Pelodiscus sinensis: one gene and its partner. The protein of the gene in region 1 interacts with the protein of each later gene in a biochemical or structural test. Links are inferred from orthologs where the notes say so. Each region holds a gene or a part of one and is shown on either strand. Other genes may lie near its edges.

What was found. The genes of interacting proteins can lie anywhere in the genome.
Region 2: the proteins of STUB1 (region 1) and UBE2W form a complex in vitro, tested with the Homo sapiens proteins (7 studies listed by BioGRID, with this or other methods). The link is inferred for Pelodiscus sinensis from reciprocal best matches to the Homo sapiens genes STUB1 and UBE2W.

The regions. Positions count from the first base shown.
Region 1 is NC_134726.1:5,342,820-5,350,040, forward strand, and holds the start of STUB1 (E3 ubiquitin-protein ligase CHIP), read right to left. Parts: upstream 3,110-7,221; coding exon 2,891-3,109; intron 1-2,890. Other genes in the region: uncharacterized protein LOC102443902, read left to right, coding at 5,369-5,496, 5,728-5,821. UniProt on the Homo sapiens protein: E3 ubiquitin-protein ligase which targets misfolded chaperone substrates towards proteasomal degradation.
Region 2 is NC_134712.1:53,656,901-53,663,977, reverse strand, and holds the start of UBE2W (ubiquitin-conjugating enzyme E2 W), read right to left. Parts: upstream 3,107-7,077; 5' UTR 2,511-3,106; coding exon of another isoform or gene 2,496-2,510; intron 2,429-2,495; exon of another isoform or gene 2,046-2,428; intron 1-2,045. UniProt on the Homo sapiens protein: Accepts ubiquitin from the E1 complex and catalyzes its covalent attachment to other proteins.

The sequences.
Region 1 (7,221 bases):
TGGCTTTCCTTCTGTGGGCCAGAGGAAAGATACACCTTTGAGAAGCTCCACAGACTCCTCATTATTCAGCAGACAAGGTGAGATAGGCCCACAAAGGACAGTTTTGCTCAGAAATCCTGCAACGTGTAATTGGGTGCAGGCCCAATCCTTGACCTGAATTATTTTAAACTGCATAACTATTTTGCTCATGAAAATTGGAACAGTGCATACTTCCCCCACACAGCTCTGCCAGTGCTGTAGAACCCTGACCTCTGTCACCTAGACCCTGGGCCTTCAAATACAAAATGCCAATGCACTTCTTGATGTGCTGCACCATGGACAGTTCCAATCCTTCCTCCTTGTTTTGCCAGTTCACCACATTCCTTGCCACATGAGCTCCTCGGTGTTCTAGCCCTGGACTTCCACTTATCCTGATAACGCACCACCGTCCTGACCTGCGGCGCCTGCTATTCTGGTCCTGGGTCTCTGGCTCAGCTCCACTGGCGAGTTGCAATCTTGACCTACCCCCTCCCCCAGTTATTCAAGTTTTGGATTTCTTCACTTCGCAGTGATTTGATGATGTGAACAAACATCCACAGGGGATTCTGAAGAGACCAACGCACATTTTCGCTTCTGACTCAAAACCTGAACCCAAGTTTTCAAGGTTCTAGACTACTTCTCAGACCACAGCTTGTTCAGTAAATGCATACAAGTGATGTTAATCAGCATATCCTTAGAGCTAAGTGATCACTCCTGGATTTCTAGAGCAATGAAGAGTCTTATGATGCATAATCTTGCCCAGTACATTTCCATTAGCTATTTTCTAAAGGTATGTTGTTTAAAAGTTCATCAACTAGGAATATTACATTGTGGTTACCAAGCTAATCAGAATTTGTATAGACTACACAATTAGTCTATAGGACTGCTCAGTCCCGGCTCGTGCTGAGTCCAGCAGCCCCTATTATCAAGATGGACCAGCTAACAAGCGTTAGTAGTTACCATGAACCAGCAGCCAGGTTGAGATACAAATATACACTTAAGAAGCAATACCACAATAGCCAACTACAAAAACCATGAATCCTACATTGAGACAGGCTAGATGGTGAAAGTCACCCAAATGAAGAGTGTATTACAGACAACACAGAGCAGAGATTTGTTTAGGATGTGTAAGTAAACATAGAATAGCCAGACTACACAAACTGGCTTTTGTAATGCTATCTTCCTAACGAAACAGAGGAAATACTTGACTCAGCTAAATACCAGGTGGGGCACAGAGACTATGCCAGACCTAGTAGAAAAGCATCCCAAACAGTAATCACTGAACATTAGCATGCCCTATGTGCAACTCAGTTCTGCAGAGCCAGAGAGAAAACAATCCCCATGGGAGAGCCATGTTAGAAGCAAAGAATTTTATTCCCAAAAGGACATACCCTTAGGAACCCAAATCCCCAAAAGCTATAGTCAGGAAAGTCCTAGATTATGGCTTTGCTGGTAAACCTGTAATCTGGACCACATCCCAAGTTTAAGTGCTGCCCTAGCCAGAGCTCACTAGCAGCGCAGTGCAGTATTATGTAGAATAAGTCCTTTGGATGACATTTTAAACTAAGATCCTCCCTGCCCATACCTAGTGGATATGGGAGTGGAAACCAAGGCTCTATTGACAAGTACTTCAGTTGTAAGGCTAAAGATCCCATATGGTGCTTTGTGGAGAGACTAGGAGATCACCAGTGTCCTGTGCAACCCCATTCAGCATCACATACACCTTCCAACGTCCCCAGCTGTTTGCTTTTGCTGCCAGTTTCGGTAAGAGATTGACAGGGTCTCTCTGACCCTCCCCACACTGAATGGCGAGTGGGCTGCTGACAGCAGTCTGGGCCCCCATCCAGAGGCTGCGTGTGCCGGAGTGGGAAACATTCTCCAGGCCACCTGTTCCCAGGAGACCCTGTCACCAACACAGCAAGGGGGGGGAGGGAGGAGGCCTGCGGGGAAGCAGGGACAGGAGCCTGGATCCTTCCAAAGCCGGGCGGGGGTGAGGAGGAGACAGAAGCGCTAAGGCAGGAACTGAGTCCTGCAGCACGGCCCATGCGGGGCGAACCCGCCCAGCCGCCGCCCCCGGAGGGGAACTGCCCCCCCAGACAGCTCAGCCCCCCCCAGCCCCACAGGCTCTCCCTTGCGGTGGGGGGCAGCCCTCCCCAGCAGCGCCGCCCAGCTCCGAGCTAGGCCTCAGCAGGGTCCTGTAGCCCCGCTCCGCCCGCCGGGCCGCAGACACCCCCCCCCTCCTCCCGACAGCCCCCCCGGCCCGCCCCCTCGCGACACCCCCCACCTCCTCCCGACAGCCCCCCCGGCCCGCCCCCTCGCGACACCCCCCACCTCCTCCCGACAGCCCCCCCGGCCCGCCCCCTCGCGACACCCCCCACCTCCTCCCGACAGCCCCCCCCGGCCCGCCCCCTCGCGACACCCCCCACCTCCTCCCGACAGCCCCCCCGGCCCGCCCCCTCGCGACACCCCCCACCTCCGCCCGACAGCCCCCCCGGCCCGCCCCCTCGCGACACCCCCCACCTCCTCCCGACAGCCCCCCCCGGCCCGCCCCCTCGCGACACCCCCCACCTCCGCCCGACAGCCCCCCCGGCCCGCCCCCTCGCGACACCCCCCACCTCCGCCCGACAGCCCCCCCGGCCCGCCCCCTCGCGACACCCCCCACCTCCGCCCGACAGCCCCCCCGGCCCGCCCCCTCGCGACACCCCCCACCTCCGCCCGACAGCCCCCCCGGCCTGCCCCCTCGCGACACCCCCACCTCCGCCCGACAGCCCCCCCGGCCCGCCCCCTCGCGACACCCCCCACCTCCGCCCGACAGCCCCCCCGGCCCGCCCCCTCCCGACACCCCCCCTCCCCCCGGCGGCCCCCCACTCACGATGGCGCGGCCGTAGCAGGCGGCCGCCTCGGGGTACTTGCGGCTGACGAAGAGCCGGTTGCCCTGCTCCTTGTGCTCCTGGGCGCTGTGGCTCTTCTCGGGGCTGCCCCCGCCCAGCCCGGCCGCCGCGCCCCCCCGGGGCCCCCCGCCCGGCCCCCCGCCGCCGGAGCCGCCGCCCAGCCCCGGGCCGCCGCTCTCCTTCTCCTCCTTCCCCTTCATGCCGCAGCGCTGCCGAGCGGGCCCGGCCGGATCCCAGCGGCCTCGCACTGCGACAGCCCGGCCGGCCCGCCTCCGCCCCGCCCGCAGCCCGCGGGACTTCCGGCGGGGCCGGGCCGGTGAGAGGGGGCGGGCGCTGGGAGGGTGAGAGCGGGGGGGGCTGAACGCGTCTGGGGGGCGAGGGGAGGGGGCGGGGCGAGAGTGGGGGGCTCGGAGGGGGAGGGAATGAGGGGGCAGGATGGAGGGGGAGGGAGCAGGGGGATGTCGTGAGGGCGGGGCTCGGAGGGGCAGGATGGAGGAGGAGGGAGCAGGGGATGTCGTGAGGGGGGGCTCGGAGGGGCAGGATGGAGGGGGAGGGAGCAGGGGGATGTCGTGAGGGCGGGGCTCGGAGGGGCAGGATGGAGGGGGAGGGAGCAGGGGGATGTCGTGAGGGGGGGCTCGGAGGGGCAGGATGGAGGGGGAGGGAGCAGGGGGATGTCGTGAGGGCGGGGCTCGGAGGGGCAGGATGGAGGGGGAGGGAGCAGGGGGATGTCGTGAGGGCGGGGCTCGGGGGGGCTCGGAGGGGCAGGATGGAGGGGGAGGGAGCAGGGGATGTCGTGAGGGCGGGGCTCGGAGGGGCAGGATGGAGGGGGAGGGAGCAGGGGGATGTCGTGAGGGCGGGGCTCGGGGGGGCTCGGAGGGGCAGGATGGAGGGGGAGGGAGCAGGGGGCTGTCGTGAGGGCGGGGCTCGGGGGGGCTCGGAGGGGCAGGATGGAGGGGGAGGGAGCAGGGGGATGTCGTGAGGGCGGGGCTCGGGGGGGCTCGGAGGGGCAGGATGGAGGAGGAGGGAGCAGGGGATGTCGTGAGGGGGGGCTCGGAGGGGCAGGATGGAGGGGGAGGGAGCAGGGGGATGTCGTGAGGGCGGGGCTCGGAGGGGCAGGATGGAGGGGGAGGGAGCAGGGGGATGTCGTGAGGGGGGGCTCGGAGGGGCAGGATGGAGGGGGAGGGAGCAGGGGGATGTCGTGAGGGCGGGGCTCGGAGGGGCAGGATGGAGGGGGAGGGAGCAGGGGGATGTCGTGAGGGGGGGCTCGGAGGGGCAGGATGGAGGGGGAGGGAGCAGGGGGATGTCGTGAGGGCGGGGCTCGGGGGGGCTCGGAGGGGCAGGATGGAGGGGGAGGGAGCAGGGGATGTCGTGAGGGCGGGGCTCGGAGGGGCAGGATGGAGGGGGAGGGAGCAGGGGGATGTCGTGAGGGCGGGGCTCGGGGGGGCTCGGAGGGGCAGGATGGAGGGGGAGGGAGCAGGGGGCTGTCGTGAGGGCGGGGCTCGGGGGGGCTCGGAGGGGCAGGATGGAGGGGGAGGGAGCAGGGGGATGTCGTGAGGGCGGGGCTCGGAGGGGCAGGATGGAGGGGGAGGGAGCAGGGGGATGTCGTGAGGGCGGGGCTCGGGGGGGCTCGGAGGGGCAGGATGGAGGGGGAGGGAGCAGGGGGCTGTCGTGAGGGCGGGGCTCGGGGGGGCTCGGAGGGGCAGGATGGAGGGGGAGGGAGCAGGGGGATGTCGTGAGGGCGGGGCTCGGGGGAGCTCGGAGGGGCAGGATGGAGGGGGAGGGAGCAGGGGATGTCGTGAGGGCGGGGCTCGGAGGGGCAGGATGGAGGGGGAGGGAGCAGGGGGATGTCGTGAGGGCGGGGCTCGAGGGGGCGAGAAAGGGGGACTAGCAGGGGCTGGGGAGATGGAGGGAGCCAGAAAGGGTCAGGGGGCTGGGGGTGAAGTGGAGGCAGGGAGATGAAGTAGGAGGCTGAGATGGGGGATCTGGGGGGGTGAGGGGGCTGGGTTATGGAAGGGTCACGGAGCTGACTGGAGGGAAATGGAGGGCAGGGACATGGAGTGGGGGTCTGGAAGGCAAAGGGAACTAGTGGACAGGAGCAGGCCCAGGGTGTTGCAGGGAAATAGAGACATGTGGGGTGGGGTTGTTTATATGGATCAAGGAAAGTTGCAAATTCCCTGGGTGCAGAGAGCCAGGCTTAGAGGCCATGCCTTAGGACCATAGGTGTGAAGAGGTGTAGAGGCCTGCTGAAGAGCAGGGTGGGTGAAGAGCTAGGAGTAGAGAGAGGAGAGAGAAAGCGGACAGGGCCAATAGAAAGTGAAAGAGGTGAAGAGGAAGGATTTGGGGTTTGCAGACACAAGAATCAGCATTTTCTTCCCGTAAGGTCTCTGCCCTGTATTTCTACAAGCATCAGTTTTGTTTATCTTTCTCTTGTAGATCTTTGTGTCCCAGAGCTCTGAAACATGCCACCAAGAGGAGGGTTGTATGATTGTGAAGACCCCATCTACTGGAGGACAGTATTTGGTGTCTACTGGGATGTACTCAAAGCCAAAGGAGGCAAGCAGAAAAAACTTGCCGAGTTGGATAAGTGGTAAATCTTCCAGCATTTAATATGGCTTCTTTTGTACTCTATGGTATGAGGAGGTGCACGGTTCAGTGTAAAATCCCTGCCAACCCAACTCCATTAGTAACAGCCGGGTCTTCCAGAGCATGAGCTTCCTCACAGCAGTGCTCTGTCAGTACCAGCTGCAACTCCAGCAGCATGAACATCTGGGTTCAAGAAAATATTTTGACTCTGTCTACCAACGGATTTTTGTTTCAGGTATCAGGAGGAGCTGCCAGTTGCTATTGCAGGGAGGAAAGAAAAATATCTGACACGGGCTGAAGTAGTGAAACTCATGGAATGGAAACTAGCAGTAAGTAGCTTTCCCAGGTGAATCATTGTATGTAACATTTCAGCCATACAATCAAAGTGTGTGTAGTGGCAGGGAGGGTCTAAGGCTACATTGCAGCTTAAATTGGCAGAAGTGATGTTGCTTGACTGTGTGAATTAAACATCCCCTTGAAAGACATAACGTATGCCAATTTAAGCACCGGCACGGTGTCAGTGAGAGAATTGCTACCAAGACTTGCAGGGACTGGAAAAATTAAACTCACGAGCCATAGAGCAACTACATTGGAGAGCTTACAGTAGTGCAGCTGCACCAGTGCCACTTTAAGCTCTATAGTGTAGTCATAGCCTCAGAGCCTTGAGGTCTGTAACATTTTCAATTACTGGTGGTTTTGAACTCTGATGATTATATTGATTTTTTTTTTAAACATATGTGGTAAGAGTCTGATGCTGTCAGCCTTAAGGCCTCTGTAGTTGGCATCTATTTAATTCTGCTGTTCCTATTTTAAAGGTGTTGCTGTTAAGGAAAAAAAAAATCCAGTCAAATCCTCTGCTCTTTCTGAACCATGCGTGATGTAAGACAGCGGGAGGGGCAATGGCATCTTTATTCTGCCTTTGTGACTCCTTAATTGAGGGGTTATTGTGGGCCCTGACAACTTATAGGAGCCTCAGGCTTGCTGTAATTGCAGTCAGCTACCCTCAGCCCTAAGGGATTGACCCAGTAGTCTGGGATCACAGAAGCATGTGACTTTTCTGCCACATGCAGTTGCTCAGGCTATGTCTTCTACACAGGATCTTACAGTGGAGAGGGTACAGTGACACTATGCCAGGTAGCAGCCTCCTCACCTTTTGAGTCTGGGGATTTGACCCCCCTTATTTAAAAGTTATACTGTTTGCCTCAGTAATAACATCTTAGAATATCAGAGCAGGAATATTTTTTAATCCGAGGTGTCCTGTTTGTTTAATTTTTACATTTCACACAGCTTGGTAATTTTCCTCTCACTAGCATAATAGAGCTGTGCGTGTGTTTCCACTAAAATAGAGGAACTATTATTTCAGTCAGATATATATGTAACATTAATACTGTACACAACTCTTTACAAACAAGGAGGCGGGCTCCCTGCTGCATAATACATTGCATGGGCTGTTGACTCACAGGAGGAGGGGTGGGGAGAAAAGTCCAAGGAAGGAGAGGAGCAGGAAGAAGGTAGGGGGCAAGGTGGAGGAGATGGTGGAAACTAAAGGAAGAGACTAGTGGTGTTGTAATGGAACAGAGGCTTGAAAGGGTGGTCAGAGGAGCACATGCTTAGGAATAGAAGAGGAAACCCCTGAAGCGATGGAAGGAGCTGGGAGCGATGTGCTCAGACTGTGGGTGAGGAAGTTGTAAATCCCACTCTCCAACAAAACCAAATGTTGCTGGAAATT
Region 2 (7,077 bases), on another chromosome or scaffold:
ACATTTAAACTGCAGCGCCACAATGGGGCCCCTGACTAATCATATAGTCAGTAAAAATTGTATCGACTACACAATAATTCAATTACCCTCTTCTTAACATCCTTACTTCCCACTGCTATCTTGTCCAAGAAACAGACATTAGATAAAACATTATTAATACCGGATAGCTCTTAGATAGCACTTTTCTGTGAATCTTGAAGTGCTTCAGATAGGCAGCAGTCATCTCCCTTTACAGAGACAAACTGAGAAACAAATGTGAAATAAGCTGTACAAGAACACAACAAAGATCAGTGACAAACACAGGCCTCTCAAACCCCAGCTACCTGTAGTATTGTCTTAAAGTGTCACAACAGTCTCTTCCACACAGTTTTTATACACACCTACAAGAGTTTCTTTTAACAGAAACTTTGGGGAACATAATATTTTGTAGTCAAAACCAGGCTGCATAAAGAATTCTAAATATTAAATAAAGACCAAACAGCAGAAACAATGTGGCATGCAAGTCTTATAGAATACGACTATGTGATATGGTATGTCCTTAAGTGCTTTACCCAGCCTTTTTTAAAACGTCACGTAAACTGGACTTCCATTACTTTCTTGGGGGGGACTATTTCAGAATCTAATAAAATTTCATCCATAAAATTTTCTAGCTTAATTATAATTATTTTTGCATTTATTCATGTCATTCCTAGTTATAAACCCTAAAGATAAATATCAGTATAACACCACGTGTAATGTTCCAGTTTGTACACCTTCTCTGTTGTCTGAGTAGTGGTGTAGAAGCGCTATAGTTAAGGTTACTTCATGACACCTGTTTAAACATTAATGTTTCTACATCATCTAAAAACAAGGATCTCTCTGAAATGCTGTTTCTTTCTGGAGGTTGAAGAGTTAGTGACCCAAATTTGGAGTCATCTGAGTCAGGAGATCCAGAAATATAAGTCCCCTCCAAAAATAGCCATTTTAAAAAAAGTTTCTATGTGACGGTGTTTTGCCCAGTCGTGGAGAGCAAACTATTACAGCTGCTCCCCAGGATTACGAACAAGTTACGGACCAACACTTGGTCCGTAACTTGAAGTGTTCGTAACTCAGATCCCATAGTTACACGGTGACCGCGCTGTTCATAACTCAGATCCGCATTTACGACCGCTTTGGTCGTAAGTGCGGATGGTTGTAACTTGGGAAGCGGCTGTACTACGCTAGGGGTCAAAATGGTCTCAACTCAATTTTTATCCAAGATAGTGCATAGCATTCACTATAGAAACCCAATTTGAGAACAGTAGTTAAGAAAGTGTCTATTTTTACACTGTGCATATGCCAATACAGAAAAAACAGCTACATGATTTCCACTCCTGCCATTTGATATGCTATAAGGTTCTAAGTATGCTATACTCCAAATGACGAGGAGTCCTGTGGCACCTTATAGACTAACTGAAGTGTAGGAGCATTAACTGATGTGTAGGAGTGTAATGCTCCTACACTTCAGTTAGTCTATAAGGTGCCACAGGACTCCTCGTCGCTTTTGCAGATTCAGACTAACACGGCTACCCCTCTGATACTATACTCCAAATGGTTAATGATAATGCTTTGAAACGTGGTGTGCCTTGTAGGGGTACAGAGCAGCATTGGTGATCCAAATTTAGGATAATCTGACCAAGAGAGTCCCAAGAGACAGATCCTCCCTTATCCCCCACTCTCCCAAAAACCCCAAAAGCCAGTTTCCCTCTACTGTCTTTTACTGCTAAATCGGATGCATTACAGACCTCTAGAATGCTGTGATCTGATCCTTCAATGAACATACTTATGGATAAATGAATCACTATCCCTGTCCTTAGATAAAAGGACTTGTGGACTAAGTGGCGGGAGGTTACTACTATAGATGCGAATAGGGGAGGGTTGAATGTAATCCTGCGGCTGTCAAGGCTGTCTTTTTGTGCAACCCACCACCAACCTCAGGCAGCCATGCCCCCCTCCTATCTTCATAAACTCCCTTAGGAGCACTCTGGGAGTCTCTGTGCCCTACCCCGTACGATCCTTACACGCACCCAATGAAGAGGAAGAGCCCGGCTGACTCTACCACACCCGCCATTCCTTTCACACTTGAGGGAACTCGGCGGCGGTCGGGGACTCTTCTCCTTTCCCAGCTCCGCCGGGGAGTGTGTGAAGCGCCCCCGCCTCCTCCCACACACACCAAGGAGGGGGGGGCCCTACCCGAACTCGGCCCTTCCCGGGAGCGGGGTGTCTGCCACAGCTCGCTCACACGCCAGGCAGGGGCTTTATCGGGCCCTCGCGCTCCGGGGGGAGGTCCCGTCCCAGAGTCCCCTTCCTGGGCGGCTCCCCAGCGCTGCCCACAGGCACCCCAGAGGCCAGAGCTTCCGCGCCAACCGCCGCCCTCCCGGCTGTCCCGCACCCCGCCAGCGGCTCCTCCTGCCACCCCGGCAGCGCCGCTCTCCCCACTCCGGCCCGGCGCCCCGACTCCGCCGCCAGAGCCTCACCTGCATGGACGCCATGATGGATCCGCCCCCCTCCCCTCTGCGCCGCCGGTCCGGACCCGGAGAGAGCGAGAGAGAGAGACGCAGCGGCGTCCCGCCAGATCACGTGGGCCCCCCAAACCAACAGGGGCAGGGCGCATGCGCCGAGCGATCAGCGGTGGCGGCTGCGCTAGGTAGCGGCCTCGCCTGGCAGGGGCCCACAGGCCGGCCCGGCGAGGCCGGGATGGGAGGAGCCGCGCGTGGCAGGCCCGTCCGCTGGAGCGCGCCCGGGGCGGGGCTAGGGGCGGAGGGGCGCGACAGGCGCGGCTGGGCCACTGCGCGTGCGGAGCCTCGGGGGAGCCGGGGCTGCCCCCCGTCTCCTGTTCGGCACCCAGCGGCTCCAGGCGGGGGCTGGGCAGCATGGGCAGTTGCCAGTTGTGGGTGGACGGATTCCTGCAGCTTTCTTCCTGTGGCACAGTCTTCAGTTACAGCGGAATCGTTAGTCCCCGGAGCCACCAAGCCCAGCCTGGAGGGCTGGCAACCCTGGTGGGATTCCTGCATCGACCTGCCCCCCTCCCGTCCCCCGCCCCGTGCAGGGAAAGCTGCATTGAGGTCACATGAGAACTGTGTCACTGTCCATTATGCTGAAACGGGCTCTACTGCGCACGTGCACATGTTGATAAGTCAAATGCATGAATTGTAAGTTTGCGAAAGGCGGGTGGATTGCACTGGGGACAGCGTCCAGCGCAGCCCCGAGAGGAAGGCCGCGCCCACGGCCCAAACCCCTGAGCCACAGCGCAAGGGTGCTCGAGCTTGTGAGAAGAACAGCCTTTGCATTTTTGTTAAACGTGGTAAAACAGTGTCTGGCTTGTTTATGTTCTTGTAAATAGCTGGAATATTTCAGGCGGCTTCAGACATAGGGCAAATGGCATATAACTTCAGCCCAAATAGTTACATTTTGCTGAAGTTATATGCAACTCAAAACACGGTGAAATGTGGGGCAATCTTCATAATAGGAAGTGCTACCAGTCCTGTGTCTGATACTAGTTATTATGGCACTGTCCCCTCTTTGGGGTGCTCAGCCCTGGACAAAAATTAGCAGGTGCTCAGTATCTGCTGACAAGATCTCTCACCCTCCTATAGCCCCACTAACTAACTCCTCCCCCTCTCAGTGCATCTGACATACCACGAAACAGCTACCCCTCTGATACACGAAACAGCTGTTTCTCAGCATGCAGGAGGCTCTGGGAGGAAAGGAGCAGGGACTGGGTGTGTTTGGGAGGAGGAGGGGGAGCAGGCTTGGGGAAGAGATGGAGTGGGAACAGGGCCTGAGCTGGTGGTGGTACCATCCCCTGGTTAGAGGGGAAGTAGACACTTGTTGGTTGCAGATCAGGTCTAATATTTGTCTGGGTGAGTGTGTAAATGTATCTGCCAGATCACCTATGACATCCCATGATTTCCAGAGGCTTGTGTTACCACAAACAAATAATTGAGATAGTTTCTAGAATGATGCTGGGCATCTCATCCCCTTAGCAACACTAGAAAAAAATGCTGTCATCATCATCTAGTGGTCTTGTCCTTTGTGTTGCACATCATGTATATTCACATATTCACAGATTTTGAGTACACATGACCAGACATTTTATGAGCTATATGCTTTTTAAAAAAAAAAAAAAATCTTGTGTGTACTTGTGCACACCCCTCCCTTTTAATGGAACAAGTCTTTTATTTTTTAAACAAACAACTGTGCTGTTTAGGTTTGTCCATTTACTGATTGGAGCTAGTCTTATTACTGAAGTTGCCATCTGAATAGGTCAGCCAAGGTAATTGAGTCCATAGCTGACCAAGGTCTTCCCAAGGGATCCCACTAAATTGGCTGACTAGGCAGTATCTGGAATATGGCATGCAATTCTGGTCACTCCTTCTCAAAAAGGATATATTAGAATTGGGGAAAGTACAGAAAAGAGCAATGAGAACATCTAGGGGCATGGAACAGCTTCAATAAGGAGAGATTTATAAAAACGGGCTGTTCCTTTTAGAAACAAGAGCAGAATATGATAGAGAGCTATAAAATTCAGATAATATGGGGAAAGTGTTATTTACGTCTCACATAACACAAGAACTAAAGGTCACCCAATTAAAATAATAAGCAGCAGGTTGAAAACAAACAAAGTAGGTTCCTCCCAAATTCACGGTTCACTTTGATCAATTTCATGGACATGGGGGAAGGGAGGGTCTTAAAATTGGTCAATTTCACAATTTCAGACTTTTACATCTGAAATGTCATGGCATTGTAACTGTGGCACTGGATAATCCTACTCTAATGTTTATGTTAAAGCTTTAGCACCTTTTGAATTCTAAGGGAGTATGAATAATGAGTATTATGCATGATTTACTATTTATATATTTTCTGTTTTCCATTCTCCAATTTACTTCATTTGTGTGAAATACTGTAACCTAGATTACAGACATTTTAGTATAATGTCTTTTTCAGAATTGTTTATAAAGTGCCTAACACAGTGGAACCCTACTCTTGTACTGAGGCCTAAAGCACAACTGTAAAACAAACAACAGTAGAACACACTGGAAAGAACCCTGTTGGTCACAATAGAACTGAGTAATATAACAGTGAATAGTTGGTACAGAAAATTTCAGATCTCAATTTATTCATGAACAGGTTATGGAACTCTTTGTTCTAAAGTATTCCCTAATTTAGACAGTGAAAAATTCTCTGTTGGCATATGGTTCACAAATGGTTGCACAAATTCTAAATGTGCACTTCGGGCCAATGCTGAGGACTGTTAGAAGGCCCTGTTTATGGGCTGTGCAAGGAAAGGAGGGCTGTCTGCATGTCATGAGGGCAAGAGAGGAACAGTGGATCTTCATTTATGCCTATAGACTAGTAGAGTGATGCTCTGTGTAAAACTGTGCAAAAGGCAGCTGGAAGACCAGCCATTATATGTGGTATTTAGCAGCTGCTAACAATAACCAACACACTGAATTAAATTCATTCTATCTATATAAAGCTATAGTACTGGGTCTGACACTACATCAACAAAGTTAATAGTTTTACCATGGATTTCAACATTGCACAATCATGCTTTCAGAATCCAACTTAATTTTATACTTTAAATTCATGAACTTTGAATTTCATGTATTGTGTTGGTTTGCTTCATAAGTCATTTGATATTATTTCTGTTCACTCAGTTACATAAGATGTCCATTCACCACAATGCAAATCATGGCTGTTGCATTTGATTATACTATTTTAAACCTTAACAAATATTCAGGCATTCACAACATGATGGGGACTAATTTGGCTACAAGTACTCAAGAGAGCGATCTTGGAGTCACTGTAGATACTTCTCTAAAAACATCCACTGTGCAGTGGCAGTCAAAAAAGCAAATAGAATGTTAGGAGTCATTAAAAAAGGGATAGAGAATAGGACAGAAAATATCTTATTGCCTCTATATAAAACCATAGTACGCCCACATCTTGAATACTGTGTACAGATGTGGTTGCCTCATCTCAAAAGAGATATATTGGCATTGGAAAAGGTTCAGAAATGAGCAACAAAAATGATTACAAGTTTGGAACATGTCCCATATGAAGAGAGATTAAAAAGACTTGGACTTTTCAGCTTAGAAAAGAGGAGACTAAGAGGGGATATGATAGAGGTCTATAAAATAATGACTGGTATGTAAAGAGTGAATAAGGAAAAGTTATTTACTTATTCCCACAATATAAGAACTTGGGGTCAGCAAATGAAATTAATAGGCAGCAGGTTTAAAACAAACAAAAAAAGTTTTTCTTCACTCAGTGCATAGTCAAACTGTGGAACTCTTTGCTAGAGGATGTGGCAAAAGCTAGAACTTTAACAGGGTTAAAAAAAAAGTCTAGATAGATTCATGGATGTTAGGTCCATCAATGGCTAGTAGCCAGGATGGGTAGGAATGGTATCCCTAGCCTCTATTTCCCTGGAAGTGGGTGACAGGGGAGGGATCTCATGAGGATTACCTGTTGTGATCCCTCACTCTGGAGCATCTGGTATTGGCCACTGTCGGCAGACTGGGCTAGATGGACCTTTGGTCTGACCCAGTATGGCCATTCTTATATTCTTGATCATTACTGTTACAGCTTGAGGGACCAAATGGCTACAGAAAGCAAGCCCACAACATTACAAATGTAGTCAAATCAAAATTTGACTCTGAAGTCTAATGGTTATTTGTAAACTTTTCATTATTCATTCAGCTTGTCACATTTAACATGGTGATTTTCTCTCATGATGAGCATATTGTTTATTTTGACAGTTTGCAATATGTGGTGAAATACATAAACAGTAAATATACAAATAAACTGATACAAGTTTACTGAGTTAATTTGATTTGTGAATATTAAAATCTATGTTAGAATTATATTTATATTAGAATTTGACAGGAAATGCACTCACAAGCATCTTTGTTGGGTTGCATCCAGACCAGTGTTATTCCACCACTTTTTATCCCACATTATCTGAGTGTTTTTGCAAGAGAGTTAACTATTTTCTTAACTATTACTAGTGTCTTGAATATTTCATATACTAAACTGCATCTTACTGCCTGATTC